7 linked regions of the Coturnix japonica genome follow. The protein of the gene in region 1 binds, or shares a complex with, the protein of each later gene. Links are inferred from orthologs where the notes say so. Each region holds a gene or a part of one and is shown in the gene's direction. Other genes may lie near its edges.

What was found.
Region 2: POLR2E (region 1) and GTF2A1 share a complex: the UniProt entries of both Homo sapiens proteins name them as parts of the TBP-based Pol II pre-initiation complex. The link is inferred for Coturnix japonica from reciprocal best matches to the Homo sapiens genes POLR2E and GTF2A1.
Region 3: POLR2E (region 1) and ASDURF share a complex: the UniProt entries of both Homo sapiens proteins name them as parts of the PAQosome complex. The link is inferred for Coturnix japonica from reciprocal best matches to the Homo sapiens genes POLR2E and ASDURF.
Region 4: POLR2E (region 1) and WDR92 share a complex: the UniProt entries of both Homo sapiens proteins name them as parts of the PAQosome complex. The link is inferred for Coturnix japonica from reciprocal best matches to the Homo sapiens genes POLR2E and DNAAF10.
Region 5: POLR2E (region 1) and RUVBL1 share a complex: the UniProt entries of both Homo sapiens proteins name them as parts of the PAQosome complex. The link is inferred for Coturnix japonica from reciprocal best matches to the Homo sapiens genes POLR2E and RUVBL1.
Region 6: POLR2E (region 1) and PDRG1 share a complex: the UniProt entries of both Homo sapiens proteins name them as parts of the PAQosome complex. The link is inferred for Coturnix japonica from reciprocal best matches to the Homo sapiens genes POLR2E and PDRG1.
Region 7: POLR2E (region 1) and TAF1A share a complex: the UniProt entries of both Homo sapiens proteins name them as parts of the pol I pre-initiation complex. The link is inferred for Coturnix japonica from reciprocal best matches to the Homo sapiens genes POLR2E and TAF1A.

Annotation. Positions count from the first base shown.
Region 1 is NC_029543.1:2,009,030-2,013,147, reverse strand, and holds the start of POLR2E (DNA-directed RNA polymerases I, II, and III subunit RPABC1), read left to right. Parts: upstream 1-1,318; 5' UTR 1,319-1,397; coding exon 1,398-1,454; intron 1,455-1,527; coding exon 1,528-1,702; intron 1,703-2,391; coding exon 2,392-2,507; intron 2,508-2,779; coding exon 2,780-2,860; intron 2,861-3,007; coding exon 3,008-3,066; intron 3,067-3,216; coding exon 3,217-3,295; exon of another isoform or gene 3,296-3,543; coding exon 3,544-3,609; 3' UTR 3,610-3,622; intron 3,623-3,899; 3' UTR 3,900-4,118. UniProt on the Homo sapiens protein: DNA-dependent RNA polymerase catalyzes the transcription of DNA into RNA using the four ribonucleoside triphosphates as substrates.
Region 2 is NC_029520.1:37,077,882-37,082,160, reverse strand, and holds the start of GTF2A1 (transcription initiation factor IIA subunit 1), read left to right. Parts: upstream 1-1,479; 5' UTR 1,480-1,732; coding exon 1,733-1,762; intron 1,763-4,279. UniProt on the Homo sapiens protein: TFIIA is a component of the transcription machinery of RNA polymerase II and plays an important role in transcriptional activation. TFIIA in a complex with TBP mediates transcriptional activity.
Region 3 is NC_029522.1:4,422,936-4,426,878, reverse strand, and holds the start of ASDURF (ASNSD1 upstream open reading frame protein), read left to right. Parts: upstream 1-1,143; 5' UTR 1,144-1,210; coding exon 1,211-1,273; intron 1,274-3,150; coding exon 3,151-3,204; intron 3,205-3,738; coding exon 3,739-3,814; intron 3,815-3,943.
Region 4 is NC_029518.1:373,108-377,208, forward strand, and holds the start of WDR92 (WD repeat-containing protein 92), read left to right. Parts: upstream 1-1,301; 5' UTR 1,302-1,331; coding exon 1,332-1,520; intron 1,521-1,604; coding exon 1,605-1,705; intron 1,706-1,775; coding exon 1,776-1,906; intron 1,907-2,216; coding exon 2,217-2,318; intron 2,319-2,912; coding exon 2,913-3,028; intron 3,029-3,214; coding exon 3,215-3,349; intron 3,350-3,434; coding exon 3,435-3,532; intron 3,533-3,781; coding exon 3,782-3,989; 3' UTR 3,990-4,101. Other genes in the region: RNA-binding protein PNO1, read right to left, coding at 173-233, 466-549, 841-990, 1,065-1,235. UniProt on the Homo sapiens protein: Key assembly factor specifically required for the stability of axonemal dynein heavy chains in cytoplasm.
Region 5 is NC_029527.1:7,146,614-7,150,776, forward strand, and holds the start of RUVBL1 (ruvB-like 1), read left to right. Parts: upstream 1-1,363; 5' UTR 1,364-1,614; intron 1,615-2,458; 5' UTR 2,459-2,497; coding exon 2,498-2,545; intron 2,546-3,196; coding exon 3,197-3,329; intron 3,330-4,163. UniProt on the Homo sapiens protein: Possesses single-stranded DNA-stimulated ATPase and ATP-dependent DNA helicase (3' to 5') activity; hexamerization is thought to be critical for ATP hydrolysis and adjacent subunits in the ring-like structure contribute to the ATPase activity.
Region 6 is NC_029535.1:8,958,169-8,961,521, forward strand, and holds PDRG1 (p53 and DNA damage-regulated protein 1), read left to right. Parts: upstream 1-1,345; 5' UTR 1,346-1,419; coding exon 1,420-1,503; intron 1,504-1,578; coding exon 1,579-1,654; intron 1,655-1,731; coding exon 1,732-1,806; intron 1,807-1,970; coding exon 1,971-2,051; intron 2,052-2,442; coding exon 2,443-2,525; 3' UTR 2,526-2,853; downstream 2,854-3,353. UniProt on the Homo sapiens protein: May play a role in chaperone-mediated protein folding.
Region 7 is NC_029518.1:15,717,994-15,722,193, forward strand, and holds the start of TAF1A (TATA box-binding protein-associated factor RNA polymerase I subunit A), read left to right. Parts: upstream 1-1,400; 5' UTR 1,401-1,530; coding exon 1,531-1,609; intron 1,610-1,904; coding exon 1,905-2,074; intron 2,075-2,457; coding exon 2,458-2,571; intron 2,572-3,936; coding exon 3,937-4,135; intron 4,136-4,200. UniProt on the Homo sapiens protein: Component of the transcription factor SL1/TIF-IB complex, which is involved in the assembly of the PIC (pre-initiation complex) during RNA polymerase I-dependent transcription.

The DNA of each region.
Region 1 (4,118 bases):
ACAGCGGGTGGGCGCCGTCCCCATTGACCTCAATTTTACTGAACATATCGAACTTCACCCCGTAACCCTCCGCAAAGGCTTTGATCTGTGCATCATCCCCAGGCTCCTGGGGGGGGGGAAAAACAGGTATCACACGTGTAAACCCCACACAACCCCATATCTTTGCATTGAGGTGCCCACCTGCTTCCCAAACTGGTTACATGGGAAGGCCAATATGCGCAGCCCTTTCTCAGCGTATCGTGCGTGCAGGTCGACAAGCTGAGTGTAATTCACTGCAGTCTTTCCTCATTTGGAAGCCACGTTGGTGATGATGCAGACGAAACCCCTGGAGGGGTAAAATAGGGGGTAAAAGGAACCTCTGTGGGGGTAAATGGGGTAAAATAGGGGGTAAAAGGAACCTCTGTGGGGGTAAATGGGGTAAAATAGGGGGTAAAAGAAACCTCTGTGGGGGTAAATGGGGTAGAATAGGGGGTAAAAGGAACCTCTGTGGGGGTAAATGGGGTAAAAGGAATCTCTGTGGGGGTAATATGGGGAAAATAGGGGGTAAAGGGGGTGAAATAGGGGGTAAAAGGAACCTCTGTGGGGGTAAAAGGGGTAATATGGGGTAAAATATGGGGTAATATGGGGTAAAATAGGGGGTAAAAGGGGTGAAATAGGGGGTAAAAATGGGGTAAAATGGGGTAAAATAGGGGGTAAAAGGAACCTCTGCGGGGGTAAAATGGGGGGGGGGGTATATAATACAGCCCATTGCTGTGTTGCTGTATGGTACATATAATGTCTCTATAATGTCTATATAATGTCTATATAATATATATATCTAATAGACCTGTATTGCTCCAAGGCCACGTCTCGGCCGTCGATATCCGTGGCGTGGAAGTCATAGATGGAGGTGGCCGATCGCCATTCATCCGCCTGCGCGCACTGCGGGGCCCAGCGGTCACAAAGCGGCTCCGAACCCCCCCAACCCCCCCAGTACCGACCCGGTTCGGTTCGGTTCGGTTCTGTTCTGTCCCCCCCCACTCACCATTGTCCGCCCCGCTCCTCTCGCCGCCGCCGCCCCGCACAGCAGCGCCCGCCCGCAACGCCACCCCCACCCCATCCCGCCACCGCTCTCCCCCCCTTTGACCAATCAGCGATTAGGACGCGCGAAGGCACCGCCCACTTCTTGCAGTTGCGCAATGCGAGCCGCTCCCTTGGGTGATAGACAGGCGAAACCACCAATCAAATCAGCGAGGCTGCTGCAGTGTCAACAAGGGGGTGGTGTCCTTCCGCCATTCCACCCCGCCTACATCTCCCAGCGTTCCCCGCGGTCAAGGACCCCTCGCAGGGCAGCCCCGCCTGCTCGTTGTGGACAGGCATTGAGGCGGGCAGCCTCGTGGGGTCCTTCAGGAGGCAACATGGACGACGAGGAGGAGACGTACCGGCTGTGGAAGATCCGCAAGACCATCATGCAGGTGCGGGCCGGCCCGGTTCGGTTCGGTTCGATTCGGTCCGGTTTCAGGTCTCATATGTTGTATTTCCCTTTAGCTGTGCCATGACCGCGGTTACCTGGTGACTCAGGACGAGTTGGATCAGACGTTGGAGGAGTTTAAAGCTCAGTTCGGGGATAAACCCAGCGAAGGCCGCCCGCGCCGAACGGACCTGACCGTGTTGGTGGCACATAACGATGATCCCACGGACCAGATGTTCGTGTTCTTCCCCGGTGAGAAACGGGGCCGGGTCGGAACCGGGTCAGAAACGGGCTGGGACCGGGTTGGGACTGGGTTAGAACTGGGTTAGGACCAGGTTAGGACCGGGTTGGGACTGGGCTGGGTCTGGGTTAGAACCGGGCTGGGACCGGGTTTGGACCAGGTTGGGACCAGCTTAGAACCGGGCTGGAACCAGGTTAGAACTGGGTTGGGACTGGGCTGGGACCGGCTTAGAACCAGGTTGGAACCGGGTTAGGATCAGGTTAGAATTGGGTTAGAACCGGGCTGGGACCGGGTCAGAACGAGGTTGGGACCGGGTTAGGACTGGGTTAGAACTGGGCTGGGACCGCGTTAGGACCAGGTAGGGACCGGGTTAGAACCGGGCTGGGACCGGGTTAGAACTGGGTTAGAACCAGGTTAGGACCGGGCTGGGACCGGGTTAGAACCGGGTTGGGACTGGGTTAGAACCGGGCTGGGACCAGGTTTGGACCAGGTTGGGACCAGCTTAGAACCGGGCTGGGACCGGGTTAGGACCGGGCTGGAACCGGGTTAGAACTGGGTTGGGACTGGGCTGGGACTGGCTTAGAACCGAGCTGGGACCGGGTTAGTACTGGGCTGGGACCAGGTTAGAACTGGGCTGGGGTCAGGTTGGGGTCTGGTGGTGCTCCTGGTTCAATCTCACCCTGCTCTTTTCCTCCCTCAGAGGAACCCAAAGTCGGCATTAAAACCATCAAGATGTATTGCCAGCGCATGCAGGAGGAGAACATCACGCGGGCTCTGATCGTGGTGCAGCAGGGAATGACCCCATCGGCAAAGCAGGTACAGTGTGATGTGGCCCCGGGGCTCTTTGAGCTGTGCTGGGTCCATAAAGGCAGAGTTCAGGCTCTGTGCCTTAATACTGGGCTTATACATTGAGTGCACTGAGCTGGTGCTGGTTGGGCACAGAGATCTGTTTCCTCTCTGCCCATATGACCATATCAATGTGAGCACAGACACCGTGTTGCCCTCCTGCTGCTGTTCATCTTGGGGCATCTCTGAGCTCACACTGTCTCATATCAGTGCTACAACCTGATGTGCTTCTCCCTTCCCAGTCCTTGGTCGATATGGCTCCCAAATACATCCTGGAGCAGTTCTTACAGCAGGAGCTCCTGATCAACATCACAGAACACGAGGTGAGTGATTCAGGCCGGCCCTCCCAGCCCTGCCCTGTGCTGGGTTTCCCCACCAGAGCTTTGTTCCTCCCCCCAAGTCTTGCAGCTATGCAGAGCTGGTTGCTTTCTCAGACTCTTATGATCTCTCTTTCTCTCTCCTGTTTACAGCTGGTCCCAGAGCACGTTGTCATGACAAAAGAAGAAGTAACCGAGCTGCTGGCCAGATAGTATCCTTTGTTTGGTCCTTCCCTTGCAGTCAGGGTGTGATGAGTGCTTGTCTTGGGCAAGAAATGGATTCCTTTGAGTGTGTGATGTTCTGTTAGCTGTGCCCTGCCTCAGGACAAGCAGACACAGAGCTCCTCCTTGACTCCATGCAGTAAGCTGAGGGAGAACCAACTCCCCAGGATCCAGGCTGGGGATCCTGTGGCCCGATACTTCGGGATAAAGCGAGGCCAGGTAAGAGCAAATAGCCTGATAACAAACAGCAGGGCCCTGCAGGCAGGATGGGGAGCTGCAGCACAGTGTGTCAGAGCTTGGAGATGGGAAAGGTTTCCTCTTTGTTAGTGTTTTTGTTTCTGAACGTTATGGGTTATGTAGAGATGTGTGCAAGGCAGCAGATAGCCCTGGGGCCAGGCTTGGCTTCCTGCTGAACCAGCTGCTGTAACACCAGCCATCCCCCATTGCTCCTTTTGCTGCCCTTCCAGGTGGTGAAGATCATAAGACCGAGTGAGACCGCAGGCCGTTACATCACCTACAGGCTGGTGCAGTGATCAGAGCTCTCAGGTAATGTGTGAGATCCCCATCTACGGGCAGTGCTTTAAACTTATGCTGTGGTTTTCTAGGGGTGACTTGAAGTGAGTTGGCTCTGGGAAAGGATTCCCTCCTGATTTGCGAAGGGAACTGTATGGGATGGATCAGAGCAAAGCTATACTAGGGTTTGGTGCCTCAGTATCACAGCTGAAGGCACATCTCAATGTTCAGAGCAGCAGCAGGGCTTTGCTTTGAGAGCAGCTGCTGAGGGAGACATGAGCTCATTCACGTCCTGACTTATTTCTTCCAGTTGTGAAAGAATTCTGTGACATCTGATCTTCCCACCCACCACCAGCTCTCAGCTGTCTGCATTCGATGGCTGAGGAAGTTCTCTGTCCCTGCTGCCCCCCTGCAGTTGTTTTCCTTGTCCCAGTTCCTCATTTCCCAGCACGGATTTTGCTGCAAATCCTTCTGCTTCAATCAGGAACGCCATGAAAACACCTCGAAGCAACTGAATGACACAGGGAAG
Region 2 (4,279 bases), on another chromosome or scaffold:
GCCTTTTTATTGGAGATGTCAGGGTGAAGTAACACTAGCACCTCAATTCCTGCTGCTCATTCAATACACCTAAGGTTAGCTCACGAGCTACGGATACCAACTCTCATCACTCCTGTTGGTTGTGCTGTGGCAGTGGAAAATTCCAAGAAGGAAATGTATAATTAACAGCAGAGGATGGTAAAACTCTGTCCCATGTAATTTTTGTTGGAGCTCCAGCAGTATGTGCCATGAACAGTGGAGCTGGTTCATCAGCTGGTCCACTGTAAATCAATCACGTGCCTATAAAAGCTCTGCCTGTCAGAAGGGAAAGGAGGTGCTCGCTACCACAGAACTAAAGCATTTAGAAGTATGGAATGTGAAGGTCTCCTGTATCCACTAACAAATTAATTCTGGTCTTAGGCTACCAGACAGGAGTTTGTAAACATGTTGCTTGGTCTAGCTAGTAGGTGGGACTTCTGAATGAAGGTAACGTGTCAAATATGGTCTGTAGGGCATGTTGGGTTTTTTATTGTTGTTTGTTTTTGTTTTCTGTGGAGATTGATGTAACATAATACCTTGAGCATAGAGCTGGAATTCAGTGTTGCTTTTAATTTATGTTCGAGCAGGTCTTATACAGGTGGGTTACTGCTGGAGCTCTAAGCTGTATTCAGAAGTTATCCTAAGGGCTTGGTGAAGGTGGCAGCAGGGAAGTTAACTGATGGAAGGATCCTCGTAGTTGAGAATGCTTTCCTGTATTACATGCATCTTGCAGATTGCCATGGAGAAAGGGGATAAGCAAAGGGAATGGAAAAGGACGAAAAGGCAATTAAAAGGGCAAAAATGGAAGCCAAGCCAAACGGTACAGCCAGGAATTCTCAGTGCCACAGATTTTGTGAGGAACTGCTGAAGAGGCAATTCTGAGAGTGAGGGCCCACGATTCCTGTCACCAGACCAGGTAACAAGAGCTTGAACACTCCGGGACCTGGCTCTTGTAGCAGGGCCAGCTCAAGGCCTGTGACCAGAGGTACCAGCGCCTGCTGGGCCAGGCAGGGCTCTTGCGTACCTGGAACTGCACAGTGAGGGGCTGACACCGAGGAGCAAACCGCTCCTATAGACCGAGCGGACGCGATGTGCGTTCCCATGTCCCTCGCTGGCCTCCGGCTCGCTCCGGGCCGTTATGAGCTGCCGCCTCGCGGTGTGCAGCATCCCGCTGGGCTCATCGCAGCCGGCCGGGCCGCAGAGCAGAGGCGGGCCGCCCCCAGCAGCGCCGTGATTGCGGGCGTCGCACGATGGGACGGACTGAGGCGCAGCGCCCGGCGGGACAGCGCGAAGACTTCCGCCTCGGTACGCCGGGCGGAGCGGCAAGCGGGAGAGCGACCTCCCTGTGTACTTCCGCCTCACTAAGTGTCATGGCGGCGGGGCGGGCTCTTCACGTGACGGCGCCCCGCGCGGCGCGCTCTCGTTCGCTGCTCTCGCGGTATCTGGCCGCCCCCCCGCGCGCGTCCCCCGCTCGGTCTGGCCGCTCGCGCAGCTGCTCGGCTCTCGCTATATAAAGGGGCGAAGCGGGCAGAGCGGGCGGCTGGCGGCGGCGGCTGCAGCCCCAGGGCCGGCGAACGAGGCCGGGCCAGGCCGCGGGGCTGCCCGTGAGCCCGGGCGGGACGTGCGGGCTTAGGGGGGACGCAGCCGGGCAGGTTTATTGTTTTAGGGGCGACTCCCCCCCCCGCGGTTGGGGGCGTCCCGGGGGGCTCGGGACATGGCGAGCTCGACTAACACAAACCCCGTGGTAAGGACCGGGCCGGGGGGCGAGGGGGACCCCGCGGGCGGCGCGGGCGGAGGGGGCCGGCGGGGCTCGCCGCCCCCTCCCCCGCACCCCCGTCCCTCGGGCCGCCCCGGCCCCCTCCCCCCCGGCCCGCGGCGGGAAGGGGCGGCGGGGTCCGGGCCGCTCCCCGCGCGGCGGCGGCAGCAGCAGACAACTTGTGGCGCCCGACGCCGGGGCGGGGAGAGCGCAGCCGGGGGCGGCGGGAGTGGGGCGGCGGGAGCGGAACGGGGGGCGCGGGGCGGCGGCCCGGGGGCGGGCGGCGGACGGAGCCCCGCGGGGAAAAGGCCGGGGCCGCCCGCCGCGGGCCGGGGTCCGGCGGGAAGGGGCGGGCGGGCGGGTCGGGAGGGGGGGGGGGGAGCCGCCCCGGGAAGGAGCGAGCGCCGCCGGCCCCGCGCCCGACCGGGAGCGAGCCGGGTGTCGGGGTGGCGGTGGCCGCGGTGGCGGCGGCAGCCCGGGCTCCGCTGGAGCCATTTTATGTTGCTCGATCGGAAAGAGACGATGGTTGAAAAGCACTTGTCCCAGCCCCGCGGCAGCGGTCCGCCAGGCCCGGCCCGGAACTTTTCTGCAGCGAGCGAGGCAGTATTTATTTTACAAAGAAAACTCTCGCCCCCCTGTGTCCCTTCTCGTGCTTTCTGCACCTTGGCGGGCGGCTCGCTGCGGGACGGCTCGCTCCGGTTCGCAATAAGCAGTCACACGCACGGCCGATCCGATCGCCCCTCGGTCTCCGCTCCGTCCCCGGCGCAACCCCGGCCCCGACCCCCGCCCCGAGCGCCGGCGGCACAAACCCGGCGTCCGGCGGCAGGCGCGGCCCTGCTTGTGGCGCTCGGATCCATCATGGCTTCCCCTGCCTTTCTGCCTGCCCGCTCCTTGTGTTCCTCCTCCCTGCGGCCGCCCTGTTTATATAGAGCCATTGCCGCTCTCTAATATAGACTCTGCTAGGATGGGAAGGTGCTTTCCAGCCCCACGTCACCGCCTCTCCATTTAAACACCACATCAGCCTTTAAATAGGGAGAGAGCCGCCGAGAGCGGGCTGGGAGGTGCGTGCATCGCGGCGGAGGCTGCCGGCCGTGCTTTTTGTCGCTCGGAGCCGGGTTTGTGCTCCTGCCTCGCTCCGCACTCGGGGAGCAGCGGCACTGCCCACGGCTCTCGGTGCTGGGTGGCTGTGCCTTGCACGAAGAGGGCACCGCCATCCTCCCAGCCTTCTGAAAACGCTTACCTTCCCCCCCCATCCCAACCCCCCCCCCCCTTTTTTTTTTTTTAATTTAATTTTTTTTTTTCATTTCTTTTTTTATTTATTAGCGTGTGTATTTTTTTGTCCACAGCATGCAGCTCTCTGTACCCTTATGGTCTTCCATGGAGTTTTGCTGTTTTGCTGCTGGATGGGGAAAGGAGGATTTAGATGTTCTTATCCAGCATGGCAAGGAGAGATGCAGGATTTGTTTCATGGCAGTTGGCCAGTGTCTGGTACAGATCTTATACTGAAAGCAGCATTAATATTGAAGTTCTGTTTATTGGTCCTGGGCACAGATTGTGTGAACGATTGTTGTGTGCTTCTGGTAACTGAAGGTGATGCGGCACACTGATATTTTGGAAGATTTTGGAATTTCTGCTATTATTTGAATTAATTAGAATGTTCTGAGTATTACAGAGAAGTTTACAGAAGGAAATGATACAGAGTTTCCTTTCTAAATCCAAAATCTTACCTGTAACCTGGAGACATGAGAAGCAAGGAAGTAGCATGGCTTTGCTATTTTATCAGCTGTTCTGAAACAAAATGTGGGACAGCAGTGTGCCATTGCATGCAGGTCAGCTGCTGGTAGGATACTTAATGTGTGTGATCCAAATCTGCTAGCTGTTCTGCCCATGACCTGCTGGCTTTCTTTAACTGACAGGAAGGGTTCTTTGTCTCTACAGTAAGTTAGATGTTTCACGTCTCTTTTTCTACCAAGTTATTACCTAATAGGTAAATACATCTTTTTATTGAATAATCATCTTAGCACTTACAAATATCTTTGTTATAACAACTTGCTGAGGCTTATCAGTGCTGCATCTCTGTCCTAGCACAGCACAACTTCTGCTGAAAAGTGCTTGTGTTTGATCACAGTGTTAAGAATAATAGGAACTTAAAATGACCCTGACTCCCATTTTAGGTTGAATCCCAAGGAAACGGTACAATTTTGCAGCACTCTGAAAATCAGCTCTATTCTGTAGTAGTGATAACCATATGTACCTCAGAGTTGCAGAAGATGAGCAAGAATGTGTGGAAGTACTGCAGCCAGCTGGTAACTTCAGCAGGGCAGATTTTGGACCTGGTGTGTCATAGTAAGACATCAGCATCTAATCAAATCTGTCCTTCCCAGGAAGGGATGCACATACCTTATGTGGTATAAGGTTTTGTAGGTGACAAAGGTAATTACCTTGTAAAGGTGTGACAGGTGTCACATTTAATTGCTTACAGTGTAGCCTGTATGTGCTACTTCT
Region 3 (3,943 bases), on another chromosome or scaffold:
ACTGTACACTTACCAATTTCACTTGCACATGAAGAAATAGCAAGTTGGACCTTGCCGTGTATCAGCCCGTCCAGACGCTCTCCATGCCTTTCCACACAGTGGATTTACAGCAGTCTCCTTCCTTCACTGAGGGCTACACAGGCTGGACGTGCAGCATTTCTGTTCTACTCATAATGTCAGCACTGTCTCACACGATGTGTCGTACTCTTTTAGTCCTACTGTTTAAGTGTATTTTGGAACAGCCAGGTTGAGCCGTCTCATCTCATTGATTCTGTTTCCACACCAAGAAGACACACTGCTACTTGCATCCTAAGCTAAAGCACTACTACTACTTGGAAGATGGCACAGAAGGATGAAGCATTCACTTATCATCTTTGGTTAATGTAGCAAGACAGATAATGAAGGTTCCAACAGAATCATAGAATGACCCGGGTTGGAAGGGACCTCAAGGATCATGTAGTTCCAACCCCCCTGCCTGGCAGGGCCACCAAACATACACCTTTACTAGATCAGGTTGCCCAGGGCCCCGTCCAACCTGGCCTTGAACACCTCCAAGGACGGGGCATCCACAACCTCCCTGGGCAACCTGTTCCAGGGCCTAACCACTCTCCTAGTGAAGAACTTCCCCCTAACATCCAACCTAAATCTTCCCTCTTTTAACTTAAAACCATTTCCCCGTGTCCTGCTATTATCAGCCCTTTCGAAGAGTTTACTCCCCTCCTGGCAGTAAGTTCCCTTCAGGTACTGAAAGGCTGCAATGAGGTCACCCCGCAACCTTCTCTTCTCCAGGCTGAACAAACCCAACTCCCTCAGCCTGTCCTCATAGGGGAGGTGCTCCAGCCCCCTGATCATCTTCCTGTCCCTCCTCTGGACCCTTTCCAAAATCTCCATGTCTTTTTTGTACTGAGGGCTCCACACCTGGACACAGCACAACAGATGAGTAGAGCTCAAGCAGGGGACTAACGGGAAATGTCTCCATGAATCAAAATACTATCAAAGATCCGACAACAAGGCAGCCGGTACTGAAGGAAAATGGTCTCATTGCTCCACAGCCACTACGGCCATAACTCCACCTCAGCCATACGCGCCTAACAGCCGCTCTGCTGTACGCATGCGCAGTCGCTGCAGTTGTTTGGAGCCCACAGCGTGAGGCGCAGCCGTTGTGCGTATATTGCTGTGCGACGGCAGCGGCCGGCACTGCGAGCTGGGGATGTCGCGGCGGGAGGAGGAGGAGAGCGCCGAGCTGGGCCGTAAGGAGGAGCTGAGCCGGAGGGTGAGTTATGGAGGGTCTGAGGTGCTGCCCTGCGTCTCATAGTTGTGTGTGGGAAGGAGGAGGGTGTGCTGGAGGCTGAGCTGCGCTGTGGCCCAGGTGAAGGTGTGGGGGAGCTCGAGTGTTGTGAGCCCTTCTGGCGAGTTCCCTTCCCGTTTTTAGTGTTGTGAGATGGGCTGTGTGTGATTAGTCGAAGGAGAATGTGGTTCTCTGGGTTTGTTGAGCAAGTCGTGAGGGAGTTTAGTGAGGAGGCCAGCTTTAAAGCTGGGCTTTTCGTAGTGGCAGTCTTGTCTTTGTTCAGTGTGAGTTCTGTACAGTCCTGGTCAGTTGTCCTCGCATAAAAAGTGACTTTATTCTTCTACACTAATATCGCAATAGATTAGTGTTGTTCTCTAGTTGATTGGTTACATAAGAGACTAAAGAGAGCAACTGCATCAGCACAACACAGCGTATTAGCTGCGTGGCTGAAATGCCTGGTTCTGCTTTGCATCACAAGACTGCACTGTGTTCTTGTCTGTTTCAATAACTATCATAGTATGCTGTTGTAGCTGTTGGTGAAACAGCATTTTCTCAGTTCAGTTTGCCTTATACAGCCCTGTAGTTATTTCCATCTGCGCCAATTCCAGGAGGCAGAAAGGAGGACCGGAGTAAGGTGTGTTCTGTGCTTACAGAAAGTAGTGTGTGTTGAACCACTTTAGCTTTGTGTTTCAGCTTTTTTGATGGGCCCTGATTGCTCTTTGTCTTTAATGGCTCTTTGTCTTTAGTGGCTGACGTTGTCCAGGGAAGCAGGAGCATTGGACTGTTTGTGTCAGTGCAGCTGAACTGATGGCGGTAGATGCAGCATGACAACTTTGTGCTAAAAGTCCAGTGTACTGGAAGTGTTTCTAATTATCTTAATACAGTTTTGGGGTTGTTTTATACATATTTATTTATTTGGGGGGGGGGGGGGGGGTTATTGGTTATGTAGGTTTTTAATTGTTTCATTTACTGTTTTCATTTTGAATCTGGAGAATAAGATTATAAAGTGTATTGTGTAGGTAAATCTTTTCTCTAAGTTGCGTAATCACAGAATTATCAAGGTTGGAAAAGACCTAGAAGATCATCTAGTCCAACCGTTACCAATACTTCCCAGCTAAATCATATTCATCAACACAACATCCAGACGTTTCTTGAACACTCCCATGGTCGGTGACTCCACCACCTCCCTGGGCAGTGCATTCCAATGCCTGACTACCCTTTCTGAGAAGTAATACTTCCTAATGTTCAGCCTGAATCTCCCCTGGCACAGCTTAAAACCATTCCCTCTAGTTCTGTCATCTCTTACATGAGAGAAGAGGCCAACCCCCAGCTCACTACAACCTCCCTTCAGGAAGTTATAGAGAGCTATAAGGTCTCCCCTGAGCCTCCTCTTCTCCAGGCTGACAAATGTTAATAGTTGTTTATACGTTTGTTTTTTTGGGGGAGGTTGAGGGTGAAGTGATTTTGGATTCTGAGCAGCGAGGAGTACTCTGGCTTCCCAGTAATGACTGCTTTGGGGGGATGGGAACAGTGTCAACCATGCAAGATAATTCCCTTCCAAAGCAGTTATTTAGAGTGCTTCATTGTCTTATTGTTGAATTCATAACTTAGATTTCAATAAGAAGTGTGTTAAATGTAATTCAGTTATGTGGTCCGAAGACTTGTTGTATGCTTGGAATAATGGGTAATGAAATTTCTTTTTCATTCCTGTGTCCACTTTCATTTTAGTGGTCTGTTCAGGGCACAGTGACTTATATTTTTATAGCTGTCTTAAAAACATGGGTAAAGATTTTAATCTCCAGGACTGCAACACAGTAGTTTATTGTTGACAATTATATTGAGATGTGTTTTTTCTCTTTCAGATTAAGGAACAGAAGGTTGTAGTTGATGAGCTTTCGAATTTGAAGAAGAACAGGGTAAGCATTAAAGTTTTTTCTGCTTACTTCATTTTAGCATCAGATAAATTTGTATAGAGGCAAGAGGGCAAACAAAATTGCAGTGAGTACATTATCTTTAGTTGTTACACTAAAGATTTTAATGTGTATATGATCTTCTGTATGGTGTCAAAATGTTGTCTACATCGCTTGAGGGTTTACTTACACTTGTGCATTGTAACAGGAAGCTGTCTCAAGGTTTTACTTTAGCACAATTTTTATATTATGATGTTTGAGTGGATCAGTTTATGTTAAAAGCTTCTTTATTTTTCATGTGCATATGATGTAAAACAAAATATGACCCTTTAAGTATGAGGAAAGGAGGAAAATGCAGAATGGTTGTGGGTTGTTCCTGAAATGTTTTGGTGCGACATGAGGACATTGCTCATGGCAGAGAAGGTATCTTTCAGACATAAAAGGGAAGGGTATCTCAGTGGACTTCAGTGAGTTTCTGCTGCAGTGTGGTTGCCTGTGTATGCTACTTTTACTTAATGTGGTGTTGTATTTATTTTACAGAAAGTTTATAGGCAGCAACCCAATAGCAACATATTCTTCCTTGTAGACCGAACAGAAACACTGTCTCAATGCAAAAGTAAGTTTGCTGCACCAAAGGTAATAGTTCAACTGTTTAAAAGCTGTCTCTGTAGCTGTTGAAGATTTCCAAGTTGTAGTACAGTGGGAAAGCTGGCAACTGCATGTTAAATACCAAGTGGACTTCAGT
Region 4 (4,101 bases), on another chromosome or scaffold:
AGATGCTGCTCTCCTTGTGTCCAGCTCCAGGTTCTCCCCATAGACAGTTATGCCATGTATTGGCATCGGGGTTTTCCTGATCCCCAAAGTGACACACGTGGAAAAGAAGGAAAGAGCAAAGAAGTGCTCAGAAGTGAATGGCTGCTTGAGTAGCACAGCAGAAACTACTCACCATCCGTAACTTCAAATGATTCCAGGAAGAGATCATCTAATCTGATGAGAGCGAGAGCGTCCTGCAACATTCAGAGTCACCATCAGCCTGAGCACTGCAGCACTGTCACACACAAGTTCTTTACAGGCCCAAACAGATCAAATCAGTCACGTATCTCCATTTGACGCATCAAACATCAGTTTTAACTTCAAACATTAAAGAAAACCACCCTGAAGTTTTCTGTTTCTTGATGTCATGTCCAGAGTGCTTGAAGATATTGAGCAATAGCACAACCCGGCCGCTGGGAGACTCACCTCCACCTGGAAGCCGAGTATGAAGGCTTTGACAAAGTCAGCTGCTTTGGTCAGAGCACTGAGGTCTTTGGTCTCAGCACAGGTCTGCAGAACGAGAAGATACGTTTCTATGTTATCAGGCAAACGGAATCAGGACTTGGAAAGTCAGTGAGATAAAGGCTGGCTGTATAAAAGAAAGCCAAAGCCACGTTCGTGTAATGCCACCTCCGCATTGTGTTCTACTGAAAGCGCAGACCAGTAGTGTATGTTGTGCTTAAGACAACAGGCTGCCCAGAGAGCTGTGGGTGCCTTGGAGGTGCCCAAGGCCCGGTTGGGCGGGTTTCAATGAAACACGAGGGATGAGAGGAACGTGAGGACACACAGCACAGCGCTCACCTTGATCTCCACGTTCCTGGTCTTTAAGTTAAACCTGATCTGGAGCTGCAGGTGCTCCACGATGGGCGTGAATATCTTCATCCAGTTCTCCTTCAGCGGCGTGTACCTGTTGGCCGGTACCGGCACCTTCCTCACCTCCCCTTTCCCCACCTGCGGACAGATGGGCGCTGAGCGGACACGTGCAGCCCGTCCGCCCCATCCCTCCGCCTCGGCGCCGCGCTCACCCCCATGGCCGCGGCGGGCAGCGGTGGGAAGGCGGGTCTCTTGCTGGGCTGCGGCCCCGCCGCATCCACCGCCTCCATCGGCTCCGCAGCCGCCGCTCTCCGCTTCCTCCTGCCGCGCTTGGAAGCCACGCTGGTGAAGCCGCTCCCGTTCTCATCCGCTTCAGACTCCATAGCGTGGCCCTCCGCCGGAAAAGCCACCGCCACTTCCTGCCCGTCCCGCCGTCCCTTCCGCTTCCTGCGTTATCCGCGTCGCTGCCGTCGCTCGTTATGTCGGCGGCGGGGCTGGACCGGCCGCAGGTGGTGGTTCACGTGCAGCAGCCGCTGACTTACACCGTGTTCGACTGCAAGTGGGTGCCGCGCAGCGCCCGCCTGCTGTGCCTCGGCAGCGCCCCGCGAGGCACCGGCCTCATCCAGCTGTACGAGCTGCGAGCCGGGCGGCTGCTGCTGCTGAGCGAGGTGAGCGGGGCGATGCGGGGCGGCACCTCGTAGGCCGAGGGGTTTAACGCTTCATACGGTGCCGACCGTGTCCTTTATCTGCAGATCGAAAAGGCCAAACCGATAAAATGTGCCACCTTCGGGGCAGCCTCCCTGCAGCAACGGCACCTGGCGACAGGGGACTTCGCGGGATGCCTCAGCATCTGGTGGGTGTGTGATTCCTTACAGCGCTCCTGGCTACTGAAGGCAACGCTGTGTTATCTGTTTCTCACATAGGAACTTAGAAGCTCCTGAAGTCCCCGTGTACTCCGTGAAAGGTCACAAGGAAATCATTAACTGCATCGATGGGGTCGGAGGCCTCGGAATTGGGGAAGGTGCCCCAGAAATTGTGACAGGCAGCCGGGATGGTGAGTGGGAGAGAGCTGAGCTGCTCAGTGACATCCCTGAACTACAGGCTGTGGGCACCGAAATGGAGGGCGGCCCTTTGGGATGAGCCTCCTCTGCTTCCTTTGGGAGCTGGAGAGGAGGAACATAAAGCAGAACAAATACAAAATAGCAGCTAGACATCTTATACTTTCCCTGTGCTTTTCTGTTTGTATTATGTTTCATTTCTTCCTATACACTGACATAGTCTGGAGGCGTCAGGCTGCCTTTCCCTGGGAAACCAAGAGTGGTGCATCAGTGCATCTGTAACACTGATGGCTTTGCTTTCCTTAGGAACTGTGAAGGTGTGGGACCCTCGGCAGAAGGAAACTCCTGTTGCCAACATGGAACCTGCGCAGGGAGAGAGCAAGAGGGACTGCTGGACGGTGGCCTTTGGTAACCAGTCTGATAACAGCCCCCTGTAATGTCACTGCGTGTTGACAGTAATCAAACCACTGAAGGCAGGGTTTGTTGTTCGGTGTTATCACATCTGTGTCTTTGCACTGTGTTTTAAAGGCTGTCTTTCCATCACGTTTGGTGGTAGTTGGCTCAGGCATTGTTTTCTTACCATCTCTGCTCAATCACTTCACAGACAAGCTTTATTCTTAGGCATTTTTACAGCCCTAGTGTGGGAATTGAACATTTCTATGTCTAGGAATGTAAAAGCAAAGAAACCACTTTGCCCTGGAGGGGTCTAACTGTGATTGTGCATGGAGAACCAATATCTGCTGATGACATTAAGACATTAATGTAAGAGACAATCCCCAGAGCTAACGAAAGACAGCAGAGATGCTTAACTTGTGCTCTTGAATTCAGGATGCTTGAGCCCAGGCCATGTCCATCCCAAACTCTGTGCTCTCAATTCATTAAATCCTACTATATGATGCTTTGCTGGCATAAATCTAAGTTGAAATTGCTGACTTAAGAGGTCTCAAATTTACAGCCTAAGAGGGGTTTCTGTGTTGTGATCAATTCTGTCTCTGTGTCCAGGCAATGCTTACAATCAAGAGGAACGTGTAGTATGTGCTGGATACGACAATGGGGACATTAAGTTGTTTGACTTAAAAGCCATGTCACTGCGATGGGAGACCAACATTAAGAACGGGGTAAGGTGCTGTGGAAGCAGGGCTTCATTCCAGCTGTGGTGTGTGTCTGTTTACAGGCAATCGCGTTATTGCCGAGTTGGTGAAGCTGTTGTAAGAATAACCAATGATTAGATACGTGTCTGCAAATCACACTCACAAATATATGCTTGTAGCAGTGGCTGAACGTATTGGTTTCACTCTTTGCAGGTTTGCAGTGTGGAGTTTGACAGGAAAGATGTGAACATGAACAAGCTGGTGGCCACGTCACTGGAGGGAAAATTCCATGTCTTCGATATGAGGACTCAGCACCCAACTAAAGGTTTTGCTTCTGTTTCAGAGAAGGTAATGGGGAGATGGATCATTCCTTTAGCAACATGTAGTACAGGAGTTTGTACAGAACTTTTGTCCAATGCTGGTTGTTTCCTAGGCACACAAATCCACCATCTGGCAGGTTCGGCACCTCCCGCAGAACAGGGATGTGTTTATGACGAGCGGAGGAGCTGGGAGCCTTCATCTCTGGAAATAGTAAGTGATCACTGTCTGCTCTATAACAGGGGAATAAGGAACCAAAACAACTGTTTATTGTTTAAAGAAAGAATCATTGTAAAGATGGTGCGTGGGGACTCACTTCCAAGCTCAGATATGATGGATATGATGGCTCGCTATTTTGAAGACATTTGTCTTATCTTGAGAACAGAGGAGACCTTTCTGTGCTGTCTTTTAAGAGCAGGATGAGATTCCTGTTTGTCTCAGTTTTCCTTTCCTTTCTGCCAGCGAGTACCCGGCTCAGCGCTCAAAGAAGGACTCGGAAGGAGCTGAGATGGGGGTGGCAGGTTCTGTCAGCCTCTTGCAGAACGTGACTCTGTCAACACAGCCCATTTCCAGCCTGGACTGGAGCCCCGACAAAAAGGGGCTGTGTGTTTGTGGTGCCTTTGACCAAACTGTGAGGGTACTGATAGTTACTAAGCTTAACAAAGTGTGACAGGAAAACTGGGATTGCTGATGAGAAAGCAATACAGTTTGACGTCTGTACATACGGGAGGGAGGGACCTATTGTCTTTAATCTAATTTCTCCCTTTTTAGAACTGGATTAA
Region 5 (4,163 bases), on another chromosome or scaffold:
TCTTTCAGAGTAGATACAAGGAGAAATTTCTTCTCACTCACTGCCCAGGGAGAGGTACAGACACTATCCCTGGAGGCTGTTCCTTGACAGGCTGAGGGAGTTGGGTTTGTTCAGCCTAGAGAAGAGAAGGTTGCGGGGTGACCTCATTGCAGCCTTTCAATACCTGAAGGGAACTTACTCCCAGGAGGGGAGTAAACTCTTCGAAAGGGCTGATAATAGCAGGACACGGGGAAACGGTTTTAAGTTAAAAGAGGGAAGATTTAGATTGGATGTTAGGGGGAAGTTCTTTACTAGGAGAGTGGTTCGGCCCTGGAACAGGCTGCCCAGGGAGGTTGTGGATGCCCCGTCCTTGGAGGTGTTCAAGACCAGGTTGGACGGGGCCCTGGGCAACCTGATCGCCTAGTAAACGCGTTGGTGATCAGATTTGGTGGCCGCTTCAGCTCAGGCGAGGGGGGTTGGAACTACAATGAATCCTTAGAGGTCCCTCCAACCCGGCCGTCATTCTGTCGATTCTGAATTGACGCATACCCAGAACGCCGTGCGCCAGATGTGGTAACTGCAGGGATGGTGGCAATCAGGCCATAGTGCCATGGGTCCGTGGTTGGATATTACGATGAAACACTCATGGCAATCTTTCCAACCTTAACTAATTCCATGAGTCATCTCCTCGCCCAGAATCTACCAACAGAGAAGAACGCACTGGATGGCAGCCAGGCTCTGAAACGCCCTCTGAGATTTCACAGCATTTCCACCCCAAGCACTGATGGACCACATAAGAGGTGCAGTAACACTACAGCAGAGCCCACAGCCATGGTGGTGGGAGATCTGTTACATGAGGGAGCTCTGAGGGTGTGGAGATGAGACACGACCCCCCGAACAACTGTTTTCCCCCCTCAGTTTATCAGTACTCTCGACGTGGGGAGGAGCTGTCCGTCGCTATATTATACTGTTATAAAAAAGGCGAAGTTAAAGGCTCAGATATTGCCGTGGGCACGTAAAACGTAAATAACTGCTGGTTAAAAATTAACCAGCAGTGGTTAAATTAACACACTGGTAAAGGCAGGACGACAGCAAAGCCCACCCAAAGGCTCGGCCCCTGCTCGGTCCCGGCCCATCTCCCCACACCCACCCTCCCCCGCACCTCGCCGCCGCACGCCGGACCGCTTTGAGTCGAGAGCGCAGCCGACGGAATGCGGCGACAGACGGCCCACACACTCTCAAATATGTATCGCCAGGCCCGCCGCTGCAGCTCGTCCGGTGAACAGGTCACGCCTAACCGCAGACACCATCACAACAGCCGCGCGAGGCGCGGCAGACGCAGGGCCAATTGACGAGACGCGCGGGAGCGGGGGAGCCCGAGGAGGCCGCGCGCCGGCGTAGGCCTTGGTAACGCGCGGGCCGCGTGATGCGCGGGTGGACGTGAGGGAGAAGGGAGACCCGTGGCGCCGATGAAGATCGAGGAGGTGAACCGAGCAACCTGCGACAGACGCATCCGCGGCAATCCGCAGCACAACAGCCTGTTAACTGGGCCCTCCGGGGGCTGCGACGAGACGGCGGCACTCCGCCAAACCGGCGGGCCGCCGCGCCTGGTGCGGACAGGAGAACGCGCGGGAGGTGAGAGATGGGCCCCTGCACCTGGCGCACTGCTCGCGGGCTGGCACGGCCGCCGATCATAGAGCGCCAGGCCCGGGCTGTGAGATTCGCCCGTTACTACTCGCTGGATTGTCGGATAAACGATCTACAGGGTTTTAAGGCTCCACTTCAAAGATTGGTGCCCGTGAGGTGGTGCAGGGCCCAGCCAAGTCCGCCTGCTCCGCTCGCGACAGGCCGGGTGGGGGTTTGTCACAGAATGACCCGGGTTGGAAGGGACTGGACTCAAGGATCATGTTTCAACCCCCTGCCGTGGAAGGGCCACGCAAAATCATATATCACCTTTACTAGATCAGGTTGCCCCGCAACAGGTCCGCCGTCAGCAACGCTGGGTCACTTGACAAGCACCTCCAAGGTATGGGGCAGTCCACAACCTCCCTGGGCAGCCTGGTTTCGCAGGGCCCTAACCTGAACTCTCCTAGTGAAGAACTTCCCCCTAACATCCAACCTAAATCTTCCCTCTTTTAACTTCAAACCATTTCCCCGTGTCCTGCTATTATCAGCCCTTTCCAAGAGTTTACTCCCCTCTTGCTCTGTTTTTAGGCTTTGATACCTGCGTGCAGCTCTGCAAGGGGAAAAAGATCCCCAGCTCTTTGGTTTGAGTTCTGTTTGATTTATTTCTTTAATGTGCCAGATACAGGGACTGCAGGAAGTGATTTCTTTCTTACCTCACTCCTATGTATAACATTGAACTGCAGTTTAATTTTGGCACCTCAGAAGATCAGTAGTTCTAAACACTTCTAGTATCACTGGAATTAAATGTATTTTAACAGTACTCTTGTTAATGGTGCCAACCCTTATCCTGCAGGCTTGTGGGGTTATAGTAGAGCTCATCAAAAGCAAGAAGATGGCTGGCAGAGCTGTCCTGTTGGCAGGACCTCCTGGAACTGGCAAGGTATCCTGATATTTTTATTTTCCTTTTCTTGCAAGAAATAAAACCTTCTGAAATCCGCTGTAATTTAACGTGCTGCCACAAGCATTTTAGAATAGCGGTTATATATTGTCTTCATCTGCTGTTGTGTTTTTTTTCCTCCATTAAGGTATTGACACAGTCTCCTGTTTTGTGTTTAATTTTTGCCACGTCATTAGCACTGGCAGCATCCTCTGGTTTGTGCAGCCATCATTAGTGCGAAAGCACCTAATATAGGTTGCCAAACACAGAGGCAGGACAGTTTCTGATTAGTCTTATAAGTTAATTCGATATTAAAAGCCTAAATAGTTATTCTTTTTAGTTGTTTTTCCCTTTCCATCTCATTTCTATAAGATGTTAAATTCAGAAGTCCACTATCATTCCTTTACAGTGTTTATAAGTCATTGGTAGAAGTCACCTTATGCGTGTCTAATTTGTTTTGGTGGGAGATGTTTGTTATATGTGAGAGATGTCAGAGCAGTTATAATATAGTATATATATGTATATATATATATAATACTATAGTATAGTAGTAGTAGTTGATAGAGTGAAGGTGATACGATGAGGAAAGTTAACTTAGTGCAGAAAGAATCCTCATAAAAATGAAATGCTTAATTTCTTTTTCCATTTTTAAAGACTGCCTTGGCTTTAGCTATTGCTCAGGAACTTGGCAGTAAAGTTCCCTTTTGTCCTATGGTTGGAAGTGAGGTCTATTCTACTGAAATCAAGAAAACAGAAGTTCTGATGGAAAACTTCAGACGAGCAATTGGTAAGTTTCAGAAAAACAGAAACGTTTTTATGTGATACTTACATTGTTTTTTCTAGTGATCTGAAAAGGAAAAATCTTGGTGGTCACGGTGGTTTCCAGAACATGATGTGAACTTTTCTTCAATGCTGATCTTAAACTGGGGAATCTCTCCCACACTTAGTAGAGTCAGTAAGGTTTTCTGGATATAAATGCTTGTGTCCCACAGATATTTTTACTTACTCTCCTCCCCCAGGATCTCTTCTTGTCCTCCAGGTTCCACCTCCTGATGCCACCTGTGACACTCCAGAAATCTGAAAGAAAATCTGTTTTTAGTTTCTTACATTAGCAGAAATGCTTATAGACAGCAAAATGCTTTCCCTTGTACTTTAGTGATTCCACCTTGCTGAGCAAGCAGCCTTCTCGAGGGGTTCCCAAGTGGCAGCATTAGCCTGGCTCAGTGTTCCAGTGAGCACAGAGGAAGTTCCATGCCAGCAAAATAAATAATATCTTCAATATCTTCCTCAATTCTAGAGTGCTTTTACAAAGTCAACGTAAATTGGGTAAATTTGCAACGCGACCTCACTAAGTAGTTAAAATCTCTTTTATGATCTCTGCTGACAGCTGATAAATGCGGTTAAAATGGCCCTTGTTTGTGTAAGGATTGCCTAAAGATGACCTAACTGAAAAACTGAACTTATTAACAGTTAATTTCCCTGATTTCTCTGCCGTGTTTCCTCTCTGACTTCATCTGAGTATCTGGGGGTGGTGAAGAGGTCTCTCAGTTCTGCAACCAAGTAAAAGTATTCCATTCATTTTCATAAGAAAAACCTTCAGTAGTCTCTGGTCTAGTTACCA
Region 6 (3,353 bases), on another chromosome or scaffold:
GGCAATCACAGGGAAAGATGAGAAGGAAAAAAAACCCACCCCATAAACATCCCTGAAGCCTTCCTGTGCAGCTGTCAGCAGGCAGGCAGGGAGGGTTCTGAGCTGCATAAATGAAAGTGATTCAAGGAAGAAAGAAAAAGGAACGTGCTGAAACCCAGACCTTCCCTTTACGCCACAAAATACAGACAGATGCAAACCATCCCATAGCAGCGAGTGGATGACCACATGCTCTGTCTGCACAGACAGGTTCCCAGGAGGGCACATAAACATGCAATCAATCTGAACGAGCCTCCAGCCTTCAGGCTGAGTCCAGCTTCCAGGCAAGCAGCTTTCCTACGGCGCCGGGTCCAGGAGAAGGAAGGCTGTGATGATTTGCATCTGGCTCAGGGCCTGCTGTGGGAGAGGCCTGCAGAGCATGGCACCAGCAGCCATCGTTGCCTTGGGAATGTTTTCCAGGTGCCCAAAGCTTTGTGATGCCTCCTGCCACAGCTCAGCTGCAGCTCTCATGCAACCCTCTGTGTGGCCACGGTAAACCCACAGCCTTTATTTTGCTGTGAGCTGCTGAGTAGCACTGCCTGCTTCAGGGGTGGACATCAGGCTTCTCTCTGCTACTGCTATCACGTAGAATGTGATGGCTCGAGGTGGAAGGGACCTCAAGGATCATCGAGCTCCAAGTCCCCGCTAGGACGGGGTTGGATGCAGACGGGCAGTGCTCATTTCCACCACTTCACTGGGCACCTTCTTCTTTCAGCACACTCTGCCACAGACCGAGATCTCTCCCGTTAACTGTCACAAACGACTTTACGAGATTAAGGCCGGTAATCTTCCGATCTGCTTAATCTTCCTCTGGGGATTATTTGCGCACCAAGAGCTTCGCTCCTGGCAGCCACAGAACCACAGAACACCCCAGGATGGAAGCAATGACTGAACCCAACCCTCAGCTCCACCAGGGGAGCCCTGAAATCTCACCCCGTGTTTCAGAGCCGCCCCACAGCACTGCCCGGCCGATTCACATACAGAACCACAGAATGAGCCGGGTTGGAAGGGACCTCAAGGATCATGTAGTTCCAACCCCCCTGCCTGGCAGGGCCACCAAACATACACCTTTACTACATCAGGTTGCCCATGGCCCCGTCCAACCTGGCCTTGAACACCTCCAAGGACGGGGCATCCACAACCTCCCTGGGCAGCCTGTTCCAGGCCCTAACCACTCTCCTAGTGAAGAACTTCCCCCTAACATCCAACCTAAATCTTCCCTCTTTTAACTCAAAACCATTTCCCCGTGTCCTGCTATTGTCAGCAATTGACACTGCAATTCCCGCAGTGTCCACACGGGGGCGCTCTACGCGGAACTCCGGATCGCGGCCGCTGCTGCCGCCCGGCGGGGAGCGGGGATGGGACGGGGCGGAGCGGCCCGACATGGCGCGGGACCCAGCGTTTGTGCTGCGCTACCTGGCCGAGGTGGAGGAGCTGGCCGAGGACGTGCTGGCCGCACGGCAGCAGGTGAGACCCGACCCGGTTCGGCCCGACAACCCCCGACCCCCCCCTTTATCCCCATCCCCTCCCGTCTCTTTGCAGATCGTCGATCTGGACGTGAAGCGGAACCGGAACCGCGAGGCGCTGCGGGCGCTGCTTAAAGACCCGGAGCCGGACGGTGAGTCCCGGAGCTCGGCCGGGATCGGGGCGGTGTGTGCGGGGCACAGCGCTGAGCACGGCTGGTCCTCACTGCAGGGAAAGCCATGGTGTGCTTCGGGAGCACCTTCATCGAGCTGCACAAGGCCAAGGCCAAGGAGATGCTGCAGAGCGGTACGGAGGGATCTGCTCACCCCGAGGAGCTCGGAGCTAAAACAGAGCAATGCTGCCATCCTGCCCTGCTCACACAGCCCGGCAGGGTCTCTGTTGGTCCCTTGTTCAACCCCAGTCCCCATGTCATGGGTTAACCCCCCTTATTCTTGCCCTGCTATTTTCAGATCAGGAACAGCTGGATGAGGAGATAAACAACCTCCGGAAAGAGCTGCGTGTGAAGGTCAACCGTCTCTTTGAAGCTCAAGGTAAAACACTCCTGGTCTTGAACCCCAACAGCAAAGGTCTGGCTGCAGATGCTGGGGAGAAGTCAATGTGTGAGTGCTGCCGGGGCTGCTCCTCCTCTCACTCTGTCATTCCCTCCCTACCCTGGTAAAGCTGTCAGCCAGCAGCGTGCTGGATACACACAGCAACGACCAGGGTGGATAGTAGGAACAATTGGTTCTCCATCACCATCCCTGCAGGCATCCCAGCACCGCAGGGATGTGGCACTGAGGGATGTGGGCAGGGTTGGGTTTCATGATCTCAGGGCTCTTTTCCAACCTTCACGATGCTGAGAGCCATCATTGCTGCGTGGTTTCACATGGAATGCTTCATGTGTCTTATAGCAAAACCCCAACGTTCTGCACATCCCTACAGGTAAACCTGAGCTGAAGGGATTTAACCTGAACCCCATGAGTGCAGAGGAAATGAAACTGATCAATCGCATCCTGGAAGGTTGAGACAGCCCTGCCACCACCACAACCGTGTGCAAGCACTGCTCAGCCTGCGGTGGTCGGGTATCACTCACAGCATTTGCACTGCATCAGACACAGCCTGTAGGATTTCCAGCTCTCCTGCATTGCTGGAGCCTCTCCTAAAGAACCTGGTGGGCACAGGGAAGGATACAGCTCCTCAGCTGTAATTCTGGCTGTAAACTCTCCCCACTCCTTGCTGCCGGTGGCAGAGCAGTGCTGAGGCAACTGCTGGAACAGTGGCTTATTCACAGCCTCTGACAAACACCCGCCTGCAAGGGGGATTATTAAAACCAGCACTGTGGGGCATTCCTAACTCTGTGTGTGTGTGTTTGTTGTTGGGTTTGTTATGTGAGAGCTTCTGTAGTTTGGCTGCAGAGCGAGTTCACTGCAGTGTCAGGAACAGAAGTAGGAGGAATTGTAAATGTACAGCGTGCCCAGAGTATAGAAGAGCTGTGTGTGCCTGTGGTATTAAAATGAAATGAAACCCGTGCATCTGAAACACGTCAGGAATCTCCTGAGAGATGCGTAGGGAGGAACAGAAGGCAGCAGCGTGTTTGTCTCAATGGGAAAACACAGGCTGCTGTCAAGGTGGGAGCCAAGAGAATACAGAAAAATAAGGCTCTCAAAACAGGATGAAAGAATAAAATGGACACATATTAGCAAAAACTGCAGCTTGAACAGGCTGGATTTGGCCTGTAGCAATGGGATAACTGATTTAAGTCATAATAGTTTTGGCAGAGGTCATAAAATCAGCTCTGGCTCTCCAGGTAGCTCATCTGCTCTCCACTTCAGGCTTAAGTTAGAGATGCACAG
Region 7 (4,200 bases), on another chromosome or scaffold:
GCATTAATCTCCTTGTGACTTCATTCCCAGCCTGGTCTCCAGCTCCACTTGCTCGTGAAGGCAGAGCTGTTTAACGCTGTCAGTATAAGGTTATCAAGCATTGAAAGACCAAGATAAAAGTTAGCGGTGTCTGTAGTCGTAAAGACAAGGGCAAGAAAGGGAGATGTGAAGAGAAACAGCATTACATACTTCTTGCATTAGCCATCGTTTTTATTGTGCAATAATGAGTACCTTGCAGTCAATAGGTGTACATGACTTTCATCACTACAACCATGCAGCATTCCCTACATCTTCAATTACTTCATTCCAACAATGTACACACAGCTTCTTCTAAACAAATTTAGGACTTTAAGAAGTAAATTGGGCCAAGCGGGATAGTGAAAGTAGGATACTGATGTAATGAGAACAGAGATGTTGTGGGATGTAACACCACACTTTGTTAACAACAGTGAGACATCCATAGGAGGGACAAACTGTAAAGGATAGACAAAGAAGATATCATTGGTAAAGAACCAATTTAACCAATTTAATCATCCCCACATGGCACAGTTTTTATGGAAAAAATGAGAAACCAGAACCAAGCAACCAACAGGAGGACAGGCTGAGGGAGTTGGGTTTGTTCAGCCTAGAGAAGAGAAGGTTGCGGGGTGACCTCATTGCAGCCTTTCAATACCTGAAGGGAACTTACTCCCAGGAGGGGAGTAAACTCTTCGAAAGGGCTGACAATAGCAGGACATGGGGAAATGGTTTTAAGTTAAGAGGGAAGATTTAGGTTGGATGTTAGGGGGAAGTTCTTCACTAGGAGAGTGGTTAGGCCCTGGAACAGGCTGCCCAGGGAGGTTGTGGATGCCCCGTCCTTGGAGGTGTTCAAGGCCAGGTTGGACGGGGCCCTGGGCAACCTGATCTAGTAAAGGTGTATGTTTGGTGGCCCTGCCAGGCAGGGGGGTTGGAATTACATGATCCTTGAGGTCCCTTCCAACCCGGGTCATTATGTGATTCTGTGAACAGTGGAACCAACTTGCATTCTTACTTGGAAAACATCCCAAAGAACCCCAATGCGGTCAGCAGCTGAAAGAATGAGTGAAACAAGTTCTACCACAAAGCTGTATGCAACACTGTGTAGTCAATGCAGACAGATCCCTAAAATCCAGGTACCCTGTGAAAGCACGGGCACTATTATTACTCTACAGCACAGATTTGGATTCAGAGTCATGGGCAGATTGTGGTGATACAAGAGAGAATGGCTATAAATGAAAAGAGAGAGGATTTAGGCCAGATGTGAGGAGGCAATTCTTTATTCATTGGGCGGTGAAGCCCTGGCACTGCCCACGGGAGCTGTGGTGCCCCATCCCCGGCGAGTACACCCATCCCGCTGCCCTCAGCGCGCAGGCGCACTAGACGTTCCGCTCCCAACATGGCCGCCGCTCTGCGTCTCGTCTTACAGAGCGCATGCGCTTTCTCTCGGCCTTCTCCTCTCCGGCAGCCGAGGTGTAGCCGTGCCTTGCCGCTCCGGTCGCTCTCTGCGTGGCCATGGAGGGTCTCCGGGCGGGGAGCGCCCTGCAGCCGGCTCTGTATCTGCCCTTGCTGCCAAGGAACCTCTACCGAGCAGGTAAGGACGAGGCTGCGCTGTGGGAGCCCCTCACGGCCGGTCTGCCTGCCTCCCCCCCTCACTGAGGCGAGCTGGGGAATCCAGCTGCTCCATGTTTCCAGTCTCGTTCGCCCCTGTAGAAAATAGGCGTGCTCAGCTTCTAAACCACGTAGCTTGCCATCATCCTATGTAGTGGCTGAGAGAGCTCCTGTAAGAGAGATAACTGAAATAACGCTGAAATAGCAGGCAGTTTGTTATCTGGTTAACGCTCTGTTTGCTGAGTTTAGCTGACTTCTTCGTGTTTTGCTTTGTTTAGCGTCTTCCAAAGAGCACAGGTTAAGCTTCTGGAAGAGCAAGGAGCTGTGTTTGAATTACATCCAGGATGCGCTACTACAGAAGCAGTGGAAGAGAGCTGCGGAGTTCCTGACCTCCTACATAGAGTCACTGGAGAAAGACTTCTCCACAGTATTCATGGGGCCTGCAGAGGTGAGCTGCTGGCCCTTAGCACTGTTCTGCAGCTGAAAGAATACTTGCCTATAACACTTCAGGGCTATTATTTTCTTTAACTGTCCATAAGCTTAATTATGAAACAAATACAGATTTCATAAGCTTTGCTCATGTGCCATATTTGTTATGAGAAGTTGTGAAGCGCCCATGGAATGTCAGTTTAAAAAGAAGAAACAATGGGACACTGATATGTGTGTAACTGTAACAGTAGACAATGTTATACTCGTTTTTTATTTGCGGTGCAAAAGTACATTTTATTCACATGTTACAGTAGCTGTAGGCTTGATAAGATTGTATATATGGTGACTGCTCCCATTTTCATACTGAGATTTTTTGCATCTTTTTTTTCCCCAAATCAACAGATGATTTGGAGACTAGGATCAGAAATCCTGTTCAATTATTCCCACAGAAACATGAGAGAGTTCAACTCTTTCATTGAACAAATGAAAACTTTAGCAATAAAAAGGCATTTGAAGGTGAGTGTACTTAACGCTGTCTTAATGGTTTTCCCACACATTCACCTCAACATCTATTTGAGTGTTACTGTTTCTGAAAGCTCTCTTGAAATGTTACAATAGTGTCAAAAAAGATAGTGTAGCTGAGTTAATAGTTGCAAGATGTTTCAGGGGCTGTTCCATGGCTAGCCGCGTCTTATTTGGTCGATACATTTTTATCTGCTTGCAGTAACTCTTAGATTCTTTAATTGCTCTTAAAACTGTTAGATTCATTTTCATACATTCCCCATTAACATCTAATTACATGTTAAGACCTGTGAAGTCTTGTGTTCAGTCCTTAATTTGACCCCTGTGCTCCTGGTCAAACAGTTGTAGTTAAACTTCACTTGCTTTTCAAGTAGCTAATTTGTATATAAAATAGTAAAGCTTATTCTGTGAACACCTGTATCATTCAGAACCCCAGTTCTTTTCCTATGGTAACTTATTCAAGCTTATATTGTTTTGATTTCCTTGACTGTTTTTGATTCCAGATTTTTCTATCTTTTAATCTATTGTATTTGTTCAAGGTCTCCAACACTAGTTCCATACAAGAGTTTACTAACTAAAAGTTTGGACTCTCATCCAATGCCTAATCAATATGATCGTGTAGTAGGGCATTCCTTTTTCAGGTTTTTGGCAGTTGCATAGCAAATTGAAACTCGGTGTAACCCTAAATTCAGGTCACTTCTAGCTCTTCTAAAATAGATTCAGCGTTTACTAACGGTAAGCAAGGTTTTGAGCCATGTGCTTTCAGCTGCCTTGATAATAATTACAGCTGAACGTTTACTACCTTATTGATGGTTCTCACCCACACAGATTTCAAGAACCCTTTAATAATCTTTCTTCACCATCTTCAAACTGGAAAAAAATACTTAAGTTCTTACTGGAATAGGCTCCCCAAGGGAGGTGGTTGAATCTCCATCCCTGGATGTGTTTAAGAGCTGTTTGGATGTGGTGCTCAGGGATATGATTTAGCAGAGGGATTTTAGAGTTAGGGTACTGTGGTTAGGCTGCAGTTGGACTTAATGATCTTCAAGGTTTTTTCCAACCTGGGTATGATTCTATGATTCTTGGTGCACACTTCAGTCTCCTATTGACACTCGCCTTCTCCCACACTTGGTTTTTATTGTCAAAGCTCTCTATGAATACACTGTTTGAATAAAACAATACCTGTAAAACCTGCTTCGAATAGAAATATTTTGCATGTTTGCTTTTTTATTTATTTATTTTTTTATGTCAGTAATGAGTGTCTCTTCCCTTTCACTTCCATGCAGGTGTTTACTATATTATTGAGATTCTTTCTATTTATGATGTGAAACACTGTGGTATGGACTGCTTGAATTGCAGGTTTGTTTAGAGCATGCCTTTCATCTCCTATGTAATGGACTGATAGATGAAGCCTACCAAAACCTGTCCCTGGCAGAGAGTTGGAGGTTTGGAGAAAAAACAGCTGTTCAGGATAAAGAAATGAAGCTGATTCAGGCTTACAGGGGGCTGCTGGACTACTATATCTGGTCCAATCAGAAGAACATACTGTTAGAGCATGGTAAGTCCAAATACTGCTTTTGTATTGAGCTGTAAACTTCTTATTCTTGCAGGCATTGCTGTTTG